2 linked regions of the Oreochromis niloticus genome follow. The protein of the gene in region 1 interacts with the protein of each later gene in a biochemical or structural test. Links are inferred from orthologs where the notes say so. Each region holds a gene or a part of one and is shown on either strand. Other genes may lie near its edges.

What was found.
Region 2: the proteins of arfgap1 (region 1) and arf2b form a complex in vitro, tested with the Homo sapiens proteins (2 studies listed by BioGRID, with this or other methods). The link is inferred for Oreochromis niloticus from reciprocal best matches to the Homo sapiens genes ARFGAP1 and ARF1.

Annotation. Positions count from the first base shown.
Region 1 is NC_031970.2:24,910,261-24,917,390, forward strand, and holds the start of arfgap1 (ADP-ribosylation factor GTPase-activating protein 1), read left to right. Parts: upstream 1-4,053; 5' UTR 4,054-4,264; intron 4,265-7,130. Other genes in the region: rh50 (rh50-like protein), read right to left, coding at 1,530-2,966. UniProt on the Homo sapiens protein: GTPase-activating protein (GAP) for the ADP ribosylation factor 1 (ARF1). Involved in membrane trafficking and /or vesicle transport.
Region 2 is NC_031973.2:4,379,901-4,387,923, reverse strand, and holds the start of arf2b (ARF GTPase 2b), read left to right. Parts: upstream 1-4,876; 5' UTR 4,877-5,030; intron 5,031-6,124; 5' UTR 6,125-6,134; coding exon 6,135-6,282; intron 6,283-7,091; coding exon 7,092-7,202; intron 7,203-8,023. Other genes in the region: uncharacterized protein map3k14b, read left to right, coding at 93-257. UniProt on the Homo sapiens protein: Small GTPase involved in protein trafficking between different compartments. Modulates vesicle budding and uncoating within the Golgi complex. In its GTP-bound form, triggers the recruitment of coatomer proteins to the Golgi membrane.

The sequences.
Region 1 (7,130 bases):
AACCTATCAGTTCAGAAAAGATTGGTGATGTAATTAACCTTTGTAACAGTGGCATACCCATTCATACAGGTAATCACAGCAGGACATGGAAACTCACTTTACCTTTAAATTATGATCTTCTCTTCTCGTAGAGCCAAGTTTGAAGTGCTTGTTTACATCCTCAGTTATCTTGTCTTATCTTGAATGAGATGATACCTTATATGCAGCATTTATATTATTTCACACTGGTCACTTCCAACTTAGGCCCATGATGCCCAGATAAAAAGTTGCGGAACGGTGTGACAAAACCTGCATATAAACCATGCATGTATATTAAGAAGTCCCAGATGTCAAAAGTCCAGCTGATAACATAAACTCATATATTCTTTATGCTTGTATAGAGGCTATATCACTTGTCCAGACAATAGTTTTTCAAAGTAGAGCTGATATTTTTTAAATATCACAAAACATGTGAAGCACATGAAATTTGAAAATATTTGTAAAACGATGAGGTAGCATTAGATTATGATGTTAAAAATGCTGAATGACATATGTTACCTTGATGATAATGATGAATTTCCATTAAAGGAGATTATGTTTTCATATAAGCTAATTTGTTTGGTGAATTCTTCTGTTCAGGCTTTGAAATACAAAACTGCGTTGTTGCTTGTTGTCATTGACTGAACAATGGGCCATACTTTGGTCTGGTGATTGTAAAGCACAGTGAGATTGTTATATAGACAGGACTTTTGTATCCTTGAGGTAATCTAGAGTTCAATCTGACTCCGTAAAACTATGTCAGATTTTAATACAGATTCCACTATCATGGTCGTGTTATGAAAATGTCATGTTTAGGCTTCTATTTTATGCCTGTCGTATTTGTAACACTTTAGTGAGTTAACAAATTATTTTATATCTATTTCTAAAGGGACGATGCGTGTCAAATATGCCCTGGCTTATTGTTGATATGTCTTCACACATTAATTATAAATTAAAAAAAATTAAAAGTTTAAATTAAAACTGCAGTTTTCATTTTGACAAATGATGCATTTAAGCATATACTTTTTGCAAGAAATCGGATTCCACACATTTTTAAATAACAATAATGATAAAATGAACCATGTTTTATTAAACTGTTTATTTTAAATACATTATACTGCAAAAAAGTTCATATTTCAGCCTGTTACTTTTCCATTGCTTTTTTGTATGCAAAATGCTAAGTGAGATTTATGGAAACAGTTCAGTACAAAGAGGTATGTAAGTAGATGTTACCACTTTAAAATCTATAATGATCAGTCTCACTTGTGCTACACTGGAACCATGTGTGCAAACAATTTCTTTTTAATATATTTAGAAATCACAATATATATGTGTATGTGTGTATATATATATATATATATATATATATATATATATGTATATATATATATATATATATATATATATACATATATATACATATATACATACATACACACACACACACATATATATATTTATATATATATATGTATATATGTATAAAGTTAAAAAATATAAGGTACAAGAGCTCAGACTTTGGTGTCCATGGGATTCATTTGCCCTTTCTCCTCATAGGTTAAGGGGACTTCTACACTGGAAAAGTCTGATGGCAACTCAAAGAAAAGCTCATCATCGAAGCATTTCTTATCAGATGGAGATGCCAAGGAGGGAAACTTCATGACCAGCCCGGTGAGCAGACCGCCAACTGTAGAGGCTCCGATGGTGGTAAAGACAGCCGCCACCTGGTACAGCGCTTGCTCCTGTGCAGTGCGTCCCAAGCCCGGCTTCAGTCCAGGAATCAGCTTCTGCAGTTCTAGCAGCCGTGGATCTCCTTCAGGTGGAGCACGGTGGGAAAAGATCTGGTACATGCTGGGCCCGTAGGTTTCCTCAGTGGCGAGGAGGATGGCGCAGATCCCTGCTGCGGCTGATATGATGCCAGTCAGTCCGTGGAGGTTGTGAATACCACACTGGTCTTGGATCCTCATGCGATAAGCCATAAATGGGGTCAGGTACTTGTAACCAAAGAAACAGGCAGTACAGCCCATGACGCCCAGTACGTATGCAGCTACAGGTGAAATCATCATGTCCACAGAAGCTCCAACTGTCACACCTCCTGCCAGAGTCACATTTTGGATATCAGCCATCGTGAGCTTGCCTCTCTTATTGAATAGCGCAGAGAGTGCAAAGGCAGTGATAGTGGATGAGGAGAGACCTATGAAGGTGTGGAGTATTGCTCTATGCTGATCATCACCTTTAAATGTAAGAGCAGAGTTGAATGAAGGCCAGAATACCCAGAGGAACAGGGTTCCCATTACAGACAGGATATCTGAATGATAACTAGTGATCTCTTTAGCATGTCCATCATTCAAACTTGGCCGATAGAGCATAAATGTCACTCCTAGACCAAAGTAGCAGGCAAATATGTGGATAAGAATAGTGCCGCCTGCATCATTGATCCTAATGTATTTGAGTACAGCCCACTCTGTCACAGCAAATATAGGAATCTCAAGAGAAGCCATGACCAGTAGCTGAACAGGACTGGTCTTCCCAAGCACAGCCCCGAAGGAGATGAGCACCACAGCACAGGCAAACTCTGCATTCACCAGGTTGATCACCCCCAAGTGAATTTTACCATCATAGTAAAACTGGAAGAACCCTTGCATCAGGATTGCCCACTGGATTGCAAATGTAGCTGTGAGAAAGTTGAAGACCATCCCGCCAAAGCCGTAGAATCTGAAAAAAGCCAGCAGGCAACCGAAGCCTATGAAGATCATCACCTGCACATCAGCAAAGTAGGGGTAGTCACGATAGAGGGAGTTCTCCATGGGGCTGGTCTCATTGTTTTGCAGCTTTGCGTTGGTATCGTCATCGTAAGTGACAAAGACAGCATAAAGAGCTATGATGATCACCTCAAACACTAACACAAACACTGGCAGGCTCACTTTCAAACTCACTGAGTCCTTCATGTTGATGTTCAGTATCCAGACTGCGACTCCTCTCGCTGCAGCAACACCCCTTTTGTACTTTTCTCTTTTTTTAAAGATCAGATAAGAGCAGATAAAAGCATTGGTTAAAGAGAGTGAACATTTAACAGTGGATTGTTATTTAACAACTCGAGAGAACAACGTACTTTAATCCCTCACTGCTCACAACTGAGCTTATCTCTCCCCCTGTGGTTTTCCGCAGCAAGTTCTGATTGGTATTAAATGTCTTTATTTTAAGCTAATCATGCCATAGTCATTGTCATCAATATATGTCATTATGTTTACTATTAGTGCCAGTATATGATGTCATCCTTAGTTTAAAAATTCCAGATTTTATTTCAAATATGTAAATTCATAATTTTTCAGTCTTGGGATGTGATACTGCTAAACGCCTAAATAACAGCTGGAATAACAGGAATGACAAACTGTTATCACACTGAACCTGTTCAGCATTAGGAATGTGTGTTGTGTCTGAAGCAAAAAGATGAATTCTCTGATCGACATTAGAAAACAATCAAAGTTAGATCATAGTAAGACAAGGCAGTATTTCTCAACGTAAGCTATTCTGGAGTATGGCTGGAGATATATAACATCATAATATCAATTAATTACTCCTGTTTTACATGTAGCTGTTCACTGTAGCAGAAAGTCAGTTTCTGATATCTATTGTGGATTCAGTAGAAAGCAATGAGAAAGAAGCCATTCGCATATTTTGTTATTATATTATTATTCTATGTGGAACACAAACTCACATTTATCACTGAAACTGAAGTTCAATTAATCAGAAAGACTCACATTGAATTTTGGGATGGATTTCAAGAATTTGATGTGCAGTTTTTAAGTGTTTTTTAAATATGAGTTTCTAAGTTTGCTGCTTGATAAATCAGACTATGATAGCAGAGTGCTGAAATGTGACCTTATTTATTTATTTACAAACTGTATCGTCGTCGTCGTGGTTGAGGATTGTGACTAAAAAAGAAAAAAACCTCAAACCCCCATAGACTCCAGTCCAGTAATCAGCAGCAATGAGCAGGTTAAAGCCGGTATTAAAATGCAAAAGAAGAAGAAGAATCGCTCCCATAATGCATTGCATTGCCAACGTATGCAAACAGGAACATGGCTACCGGTGTTTAACATCAGCACTCTTGAAAAATTCTCTTGTCCCTGACCGACATAGTCTGATACACCAGCTTTTGCTGATCCTCCGCGACAGGAGAAAGGTCGGAGTTTATCAGTGGACTCTGGAAACAGCTCCTCGCTTCTTCGTCGGTCACAGACAGGTAACTGGTCAGTTAGCAGACGCTAGCTCCCGGTGAAGCTAACGCTACCAGTGCTGCTAATCACGTCAGTTCATTTAAATGTTATCATCGCTGTCATCTCCTTTTGGAGACGGGCTGTGAATCATTAGTCAAAGGAAGACGTGGAAAACACATCAGTATACTTTTATACCTGTGCTGTGAAACACACACATAAAGCCGCTGCATGGGGGCGGTAGTTTTTGTGTCTCCCAGAGCTTTGACACGTCTGCACCTCAGCTAAAACTTAATTGTCATGTCACTCGTAATTAGACTATTAACTAGACTGCTGTTTGCTTTTAGGCCTTACAGGGAGAGCGGTGTAACAGCGTATAATGACATATGTTTATGGTTTATAATTAAGTCACATATTGATGAGGTAAACAAGCGTGAGGGGGAATATGTTAATGTCACAGACATAATGCTGACAGAAAGAGACTAATGCTGAAAGAAAAAGAAAGGGCAAAATGTTCTGGAGTGACGGTGGAAGATCGGGTCCTGCTGAAGTAGGAGAGGGTAGACCACCATTTTCAGTAAGCAAGCACGGTAACAATGTGGCATTAAAGTCATCGAGTGGAGCTACACAGTCGAGGAACACTACATTTATTTACACTGAGACCACTGCCCCACAATCTGCCCACAAAGCACAGCTAACCAGGGCTGAAGACGAGGAAATTGGAATCTAGAGATGTGGCAGAAATCACCACAAGAACCAAACTTCAGACTTGGTAAAGGCCATGGTAAAATAAGTGCATTGGTGGCAAACATAAGGTCTGGGAGGCCAGAAGTGACCCAGCAGAGACTCCCAATTTGGATCACTGGACCATTTGAACAAGTGAAGGAGGGCGTAAATCTTGAACCAAGTTTTATAGCTTTTCTTCCTGATAAGGCCCTCCCATATGGTTATTCATTGTGTACCTAAGCTATTAAGTGACAGAAATGTGACTGGTTTTTTTTGTTTGTTTTTTTTAAAATTTTATTACTGTCTTCTATAGATGTTTCAGTGTTTTGTTTTGTTTTTCCTTCTTACAATGGGACTACAGTAGAAATCAGTAACATGTTTTCTATCAATTGATGAAACGTCTATAATTGCAGGAGCTACCAATTTTTTTCTGTAATTATCCAAATTTATTTCTCACAGTTTAAGCCCAAAAAGTCCTGCTGACAGATTTTCATTTACTACAGCAGCATTTCCTTATCTCGCAGAAAGGTTTAGGCATGCTGTTGAATTTGTACTTCTTTTTTTATGTATTAACATATCTCAGAGACTAAATGTGTAGTTAAAATTCTTTACAATGACAAAAAGAAAAGTTTCACTGATGGAAGTGGGCTGTGTGCAGCCCACGGTGTAAAATAAGTTTGACCTTCCTGCACTAAAGTAAGGGGTGAAAGTTAAAGGGGAAAAAATAGTTATAATGAAGGGAAATGTTTAAAAATAAAATGTTACACTGATTTCAGTTTTTAAAAGGACTTAGGATTTTCAGAAGACTTGGGTATGACAGTATTTTGTTATGAGAGAATATAATAATTTTGAGGAGTACTCGAGTATGAGAATATCTCAGTTAACATTGTGTATGTTTGGGGGAAAAATAAGGAGAACTTTGGAGTTTAATTCCAGCAAAGTGGGGGATAACACATACTGATAAGGCAATCAAGTGGTGGGAGGGTTACATAGAGTGAGTGAGCATGGGAACAAAGTGTATGTGATGAGTTGTCAGAGTAATCCTGTTTAATGAAACGAGATGATATTTGCAAGCCGTCTGCCAGCCAGTGAATAGCCAAAAGCATTGCCAGTTGTTATTTGAAAATAATCAGACTTTGTAGGATATCTTTTTTTTGCTAAACATGTGCAGACTTGGTAGATGTTGCTTCAGGTAAAACTCAGATGTCTGGTTTACCCTGTTATGTAATATCAGCATCTTTTATTATTGAACAGATTAGATAGGCAATGGATTAGCCAGTCAAGCAGATTAATTGTCAGCATTTTTTTATTTTTACAACTCATTAATCTTCATGACCTTTATTAATGTGTAACAAAGTAACAAAGGCAGGGTTGTATTTTTTTCTGCTTTCTCAGAGTAGGCCTCTGGGGGAAGGTGTGATTAAATACATAGGCATATCTAGTCTGCATACAGTAAAGGCATTTGGTGTTTGTTTGTTACTGTATCTGACAGAAATTGATGCATTTTTGTGATAAAGAAAACAGATGATATGCTTGTTTTGAAGTGGTTTACTCAGTGGTTGGGAATTTCCGTTGGTTCTGGCTAAAGCATCTCGGGAGGGCGGATCAGTGAATACCCTAAATGGCATACATCCACTGGTTTCAGCTTCTCAAATGTCATAATACTGATACTTTACTTTTATTAGTCGACTAACCAGTTGGAAAAACAATTTTCCACTTACTTTGTCCTAATTCCATTAATATTTATGAAAGTGTTAATCTTTAAAAATAGGTACCCAAAGTGCAATGAATGTCATTATAAATGGTTAAATGATGACCTGATATGGCTGAGCACTGCAGTTTAAACAATACATTTTGTGTTCACTGATGGTAATTACTACATAAATCTATTAAGTTTGTTTGAGGTTGTGGAGAGAAGCTTTAAGAATCATTGTAATCGCTGCTCGTTGCACGTTGGGCAGAGGTCTAGTTCGATGCTGTCTCTGTGCCATAGTCAATGATAAAAACAAGAAAACAAAGAAGCTGTAGGGGTTTCATGATATTAAAATGGTGTGGGTAAATTACCTGCAGTAGCCTTCCACATTTCGCACACTTACTGCCAGATGCAGCAGAAAATCAGGTGAATATTTGATAATTCATTAATGCTTTAATTTGAATTCACAATAAAAT
Region 2 (8,023 bases), on another chromosome or scaffold:
ATTATCATTACCACTTCAGCATTAACCCTTTGCAGATACATCTGACACCCAGTCAGCCAGAATCCATATGAATAATTACATCTGTCACTCAGATCTCGGGGAAAGCCTTCACTTTGGAGACTCTGGACAGGAAGACGGTGTCCTTTGAACGAGAGATCAGAGAGTCTGGTCTGTGGCTTCGCTGTGTTCCTGCTCCTGACAGATGCCAGCACTGGAGGTGGAGAGTCAGAGAAGGCAAGCTCGAACTTCGAGAATGAGACGGATATTTTCTGTTCTCTGTTGTTGTTTTGGTCTTTTGGACTAATTTAATTTGTTTTTTTTTTATTGGGAAAAGCTTTTAAGCACTTTAAAACTTTTCTCAGTGCATTTACACATAGCTCAACATAAATAATCCATTTTGACAGAAATATGGGCAAAAAACCTTAAACACAGGAAAAACAAAGATACCAATCAAGCACTTTATTAGGAACACCACACTGAGTTCAGGTAGGCCCTCTCTTTGCTAGCCGACAGCCTCAGTTTACCTCCTGTGTTGCCAGAGTTGTTCTTCTGGATTCAGACTTGCTGGTTAGGACGACAACGTAGGCCGTCTGAATTCAGTCTCATATTTATAAAACCACGTTTAAGATGAAGGAGCCATTAGAAAATGACTCCTTCCAGTGTGACTGGTGGTTGTTGGTAATATGCTGGCAGAAAGAGACCAAGAAAACATTCCCCATGTTACCCCACTGACACCAGCAGCCTGGGCAGGTTGGCTCATGCTGATTTTGACCTACCATTTACATGGCGATGGATCAATCCTTGCTGCATTTCTGCTATCTGGGCTGCATTTGATAATCTCACCATCCTGTGTTTAGATTAGATAACATGTTTTTTAATCCAGTGAATCACATTATTAACAGGAGCCGTCTGACACTCCATATTCCTGCAGATCCACCAAGGCTGAAAATTCCCTCCATGCCACACATGAACTGAGTATGAACAGGATCCGTGTTTTGTTTTGTTTTTTTCCTCAAGGAATCCCAACACAATTTCTCATTTTTTTCTTTTAGTGTGATATTTTTACGTATTTTTGTAGATGTAACACAAAATATCCAATCCTTCAAATAATGGTAAAGGATCCCTTCAAAATCTCCCAGATCCAGACCTGAAATGATAACCACTTTGAAGTCCCACAGCTGGCAAAGATACACAAACAAACCGAATCAATTGCAAAAATAATCTCTAATTTGTACTTAATAACTAGTTACATGTCCGTTACCTTACCAAACCCCGGTACTTAGCTTATACTGCTGTGTTAAACCAGTGTCATAACCTGCGCCCAGCCTGAGCTGCTCCTTACCAGAAATCCAACAACACATTGTAGGAATCCAGACCTCAGCCCCCGTGTTAGGTCTGTAGTGTGAAACATAATATATTGATGAGCACAGGAGTAATATTTCTGCAAAATAAAATGTAAGAAGGGGCACGGTGGTTAGCACTGTTGCCGCACAGCAAGAAGGTCCTGAGTTCAATTCCACCATCAGGCCGGGGTCTTTCTGTGTGGAGTTTGCATGTTCTCCCCGTGTTTGCGTGGGTTCTCTCCGGGTACTCCGGCTTCCTCCCACCGTCCAAAGACATGCAGCTTGTGGGGATAGGTTAATTGGATAATCCAAATTGCCACTAGGTGTAAATGTGCGAGTGAATGTGAGTGCGAATGGTTGTCTGTCCCTGTATGTTAGCCCTGCGACAGACTGGCGACCTGTCCAGGGCGTACCCCGCCTCTCGCCCTATGACAGCTGGGATAGGCTCCAGCGCCCCCCGTGACCCTGAAAAGGATAAGCGGAAGCGAATGGATGGATGGAAAATGTAAGAAGGATTTATTGTACCTAGCTTGCTCAATATGCAAATACAACAGCTAATATGTGGAGATATGTTGATTTCCTCGTTTTAATAACTCTGTCAGTTTTGTCACGCTCACCTCTTTCCTTCATTTCAGCAAAGTGTTGTTCACATCTGAACGTTGAGCTCTGACAGGATCATCTCTGTTTTCACTGGTGTTAGCAGAACAAAGCAGAGGAACGAGAATAAAAGCAAACATTATGGTCAACCATTCAGCACGGCACTGTAAATGAAGCTTCAGAGTTTCTGCTGCACTGGTGCCACGTGATTGGCTAACTGAATAACTACTAGCACAAGCAGGTGTTCCTAATAAAGTGCTACTTGAGTGTACAAATAAAAGAAATCTTAAAATGTCTATTTTCAGGTTAAACTGTTTCTATATGTTTTAAGTAATGATACAAGTAGTTTACACTCCAAGGGGGTAAACCTGCTTGAATAGGAAATGGTGTTGGTAGAGCTGTAATAGGTTGTGACATCTGTATTTTTTTATTTTGTGTGTTAAGATTGTTTCCCTCTTTCCGTTCTCCTGCTTGTTCTTTCCTTTTATGGATCACTAGGAACAAAAAAATCCGTTCTTTGTATCTCTGTTTACTTTCTGATGTGGAAGAAAGAGTTTGTCATGTCATCTGTTTCATTTTAGAGTTTAAATGGCATGAAGCTGCCTAAAATGATGTGTTTTCCACAATATATCACAAGACTGGAATCTCTTGGTACTTGAATGTAACTGATATTTTATATTCTAATAAAAAAATGACTCAGAGGCACAAAAGTTGCTGTCTTCTGCTCATTTCCAGCTATTGCCTTTCCCAGTCGTTTCTGACTCGGTGTCATTTGAGAAAGACCAGGATTAGACCTGTTGCACACTGTAAACATTGACAGCACTGATAAAGAGGCCCAGCCCTATAAAAACAGATGATGTTAAACACGTGAGGCTGTTACATGTGTTGCATGTGACCAGGAAGGTGTATGAAAACGTTTGCTTCAGCCTGATCCTGTTCATACATTAATTGTAATATAGGTATTGATCTTACACAAATTGTTTTTGTACAGTGTAAACTGTATTTGATAAATATCAGATATAAACATTTTTCCATCTGGGCATGAAATATACAATTTTGCATTATTTGTATTTGAAATAGTTCAGCTAGGTTCCCACTGAAGAGAGATTCATGTTATTAAATGAAAAGTAACTACATGTGACACTCTTTATGACTATAGCAACTAGCTGGCTAACCTTAGCTTCCTTCTCATTGACATCAATAGCAAAAGTGCTATCAAAAGCCAGACCAGTGCTTGCTTTTTGTCCTTGTGTGGTGTTAACTGGTTTTTGACATTACTAATTAACAGACTCCATTTTCTACCCAAAGGTTAGCTGATGATCTCGCTGTTAATGCTGTGAACAGAAGAGTGGTATTCAAACAAGGTTCCCATGAACGAGCACAGCCATCTTTAAACTTTTTTGCAGAAAATTCAAACTGACTCACTGATGTAAAGGTCACTACAAAGTCCCAATTTTTTTAGTTATATTACAAACCCTTTAAACTACAAATAAAAGAGGCTTGATAATTTATTATTAGACTTTTTTTTTAATCTATTGCTGCTGTAAGGCCCACCAAGTGTAAAAAGATATATGCACCTTCCAGAAAGTGTAGTTGACATGGAAGCGCCTTAAATATGCATTCTTTCTAACGACCAGCAGGGGGCGACTCCTTTAATGCAAACACACTTCCAGAAGTTTTTCCTTCCTTGATCTGTGCCCTCAGTAAACTCTTAGCTGGTTGTGCTAAGCTTGTGAGCACAATCTGCTAATTTTAAGTCATACTAAAAAACAACATGAAGTTTCCTCTTTGGCTCATGACTTGTTAATCATAAGATGGCAATTGTTGGCCTGTGGTGTCCACTTTTTTCAAAATACCAAGATGGCAACAGCAAAAACAAAACACTCATCTTGAGTCACCAGCGCTTCACTACCCAATGGGTGATTACGATGACTACATCCATCTTTTGTATACAGTCTACAATAAGGCCTCACATTTCCAGCTTGGTGCTTGAGGAATGTGAAGCTTCTGGATCCTCTGATAGCAAACACAGCCAATAATAATTGCAGACATCAGGTGCTGTTAGCTGCTGACAAGTGTGATTAATTACCATTCTAAAAGTCATAAACCATAAATGATTAAAGACAGTGGTTGTGAGACCCGCAGACAATGAATTTAGTCATGAGAACCTGCAGCCTTGCACTAATCATATAATAGATAGCATTTCTGTGTCAGCAATTTGAATTAACACAATTAAAATAAGTGAGGATCTAAAAAGAAATTTCAGCATATCTCTTCAAGTGAGTCCACAGGGAGGATTTCACTGGTACAAGTCTTCAAAGAAATGCAATTAATCAGATTATGAGGAACGAGATGGAAAGTAAGGCCTAAAAGTTGGGATCAGCCAGGATCTTGAGTCCCGGCATGGAAAAAGGGGCCTCTAAACACAAATAAATGGTAGAACCCTCCACCTCCCTCATACAATTGGAGAGAGTCCTGGAGAGGCCTTCGGTGACCCCAGTGATCACTAGGTTTTACTCAGAAAATGTGCTTAAAAGTAATTAAAAAAATTAAACATCAATAGAGAAGAAAAACGATCAAAAAGTAAATCGAAATGACCGTAGGCAAACATAAAATACAGGAAAAACAATAAACTAGAAACAGATTTTTCTAATGTTGCATTTCCGTGTTTTGTTTTTTGACTCCCTATAGTCCTTGTGTTTATGTGTGGATTTCTTTATTTAATTATCATTATTTGTCTCTTTTGTGGCCGATTTCTGTTTCCCTGTAGTCATTTCTCGTCGGTTAAAAAAAAGGAAAAGAAAAAGAAAAACTCTGAGGGCCCGGTTCTCAGTGTCTGAAACTTGAATAAACTTGTGTACGGCTCACTTCCTCGACATTTTGTGCACTGTGCGCACAAGGCTCTGCCGACACGCTGATTGGACCGCGGAGACATCTGGGCGGGTTATCCGTTACACCATGCGTGCTACGATTGGACGCGGTGTGATAGTGGGAAGTTGCCGTACGCCGGTGTCTCCCTGGTTGCGCAAGACGCCATTTTGGGGTGACAGTGAGAGATAACGGAAAGATCGAGAAGCTGTCGTTTTAAAGGTAATAACCCACATAAACTCGCTTGTTTTTTTTGCTGTAACGCCATTTATTGTACGGCGATTGTCGCACGGTACCAGCGATTCGATTTAGTTTCGCCTGAGCATGACGTCACGAGGTTCTTTCTCAACTGTGACGCGGCATTTAGCTAACGGCTGTTAGCTTAGCGAGCTATCGTGTATCAGATCTTTTAATGTTCACGCCTAAGAAACCAGGCCTCAGTTTTGCAGGTGGATTTCGTAGCAGGTCATCGTTAGATTTATTAATAATATATACTGTAACCGACAGTGGTCAGTAGACCGTAGACGAACGGTGTCGCCTGCTCGTCGCAAGTTAGCATATGCTAGGAAAACTAGCTATCTGGCTGAAGCATCCGCCCTTAGTGAAGCGAACTGTATCCTGTTTCGAGTGCTGGTAACCAGGTAAAGAGAGAAAACTTCAGACTTTACACAGAAAATCTGCGCGTTCACATAGCACAACGTTTCAGCCTTTATTGACACATACTGATATGAACTTTACATTAACTTAGGTTGACCTTATGGTTGAAAGCTAGCGTCTTGTGACGGCTCACTCGTACAGAAACATTATCCTAACCGGCTATTGCAGAGTTTTCTAGCTGGAACAGGCCTCTCTTATCTTTTCATCAGTTAGCTATTCGCTTTATCCACGGTTGTACAGCTTAGCCTCAGGATATGCGATTTTTCTGCTGTTAAATAATTGACACATAGGAAGTTTTAACACTTCTGTAGTGTAGAAGTTAATGGCTGATGTTGGTCGGCCAGAGTTAGCTCTTAACTTAGAGTCGTAGACGAAAGCCTCAGTCATTCGCTTGTGTAAACATTTAACTTGTTCTCCTCCGTGTGTCTCACAATGTACCTCGTTTTTTCGACTAAATATACAGCTGTCATCGAACTGCTCTAATGTGGTGTACCTCTATGAACTGACTAACGATAAAACGATGGTAAATCAGTCCAGATGTCAGCTGTTTTCTCTGATACATTTTCCCTGTATTCACTGCCTCTCACCATACTGCACTGAAACAGATTAACAGCAGACCGTACACTGCCTTAACCCTGTCTCCGTCTCTGCTTTGACAGCTTCATCACCATGGGGAATGTATTTGCGAGCTTATTCAAAGGCCTGTTTGGCAAAAAAGAAATGAGGATTCTAATGGTGGGGCTGGATGCGGCTGGAAAAACAACTATCCTATATAAACTCAAACTCGGAGAGATAGTCACCACCATTCCCACCATTGGTATGGACATTTACATCTATCACTCCACTGTCATTATTGTAAAGAAGCTGTATTTTTAGACTGCTTTGAGAAGATGTTATTAGTTATTTCCCATTGTTATTAGAGAGGACAAAAAAAAATCCTGTTCACCAGATCTTCAGGTCTTTTAAACATCTGACTGTTAATTTGTTTTAATTACAAGGGATACACTGTTACGAAATTTAGGGTCATGACTAATATATCTACTTTTTGGATTTTCTTTTCTTTTTTTTATTGCTATTTACTTCTTACTTTGTTTCAGGGCAAGTAATTAAATCATAATTAAAATTAATGGATCTATTTTAAAGTCTGTTTAAAAAAAAAAACTTAACCAGAAGTGATGTGGTAAATATTGGCCACAAAAGCAGGTGAATGCCATTACCAGTCCACTGGGTGACCAATCATTTTGTAGCTTTAAGCAGTTAAGGTAATTTTTTTTGTGTGTGTGTGTGTGTGTCCAAGTTTAATGCGTTTTGATCTACAGCAACCAGATGTTTCCTTATTTCAGATTTTCTGGACCATTTCATTTTAACAATGGTTTAACAAAGAATAAGTGATAAAATGAGAGTAACTGAAGACCGTTTCTTGATTAAAATGCAGTCATGAAATGTTGACTTTAAAAATAAAGTCATATTAGGAACAAACAGTGGAAAAAAAAATAAAAAAAATAATAAATCGTAGAAATCTTTACCTGCGTGTAGTGTTTGCTGTCGAGTGGTCCAAAGCCTTTTAGTGACTCATCTGTTTCCTCTCCTTTTTTTTTTCTTTTTTTTTCCCTTTCCTTTTCGCAGGTTTTAATGTTGAAACTGTAGAATACAAGAACATCAGCTTCACAGTTTGGGATGTGGGCGGTCAGGACAAAATCAGGCCGCTGTGGCGCCACTACTTCCAGAACACTCAAGGTGAGGTGAAAGGGGGTGTGCAGTGGCATTATCTTAGCTGGCAGTTGTGTCAGTGAGCATTACTGCCCGTAGGTGGCCTCGTTGGTGCATAGAGGATATTAAAGAGACCAATGACTCACATGCCATTGTTCCATTCTCAAAGGGCGTATTGTGTGACTCCTCTACTGTTTCCTGATGTGTAACTCATCAGAATGTATAGGCCTATGCTGTCTTGTGTTTGCCACTCATGATCCGGCTTGTAAGCAAACTAAGTTGAACATTTTGTGGTGTCTTTAATCTTCAGAAATTAATTGTGATTGAAGCCACCTTATTTGCTGCACTGCCACCAGTGCTCCTGTGGTTTCCCTGCATGCATTAGATGAACGTCACCTTCCACATACTGAGCACCCAAGTGTGAAATTGAATGTGTGAATCATTTCAGTGATGATCTAAGACGCAGCATCATTAAACAAACAGCATGTCTGACTACAGAATTTTCTTCTGCAGCAAACAAGGAAAGTTGTGTTTGGGCTAGAGAGCCGAGTATTGGTTAATGATTTCATGATTAAGGTGACAGAAAATTGTTCTTTCCGTTATTTTTCCAGGCAAAAAAGATTAAGGTTCTATGCAAAATTAGACCTGCGGACCATCTCAATCTAGTCTGATGTCCTTAATGGTCTAGCCTCTCCCCAAGAAACGTTTTAAAAAAAAAAAAAAAAAAAAAAAAAAAGACACGACACTTCAGTTTTTTATGATGACCTGTTACATCTTCACTCTAATGGTAAAGTTGTGAATAATTTAAAGTTCTTAGCATGCAAGTGGATTTTTTTTTTTTTGACAAT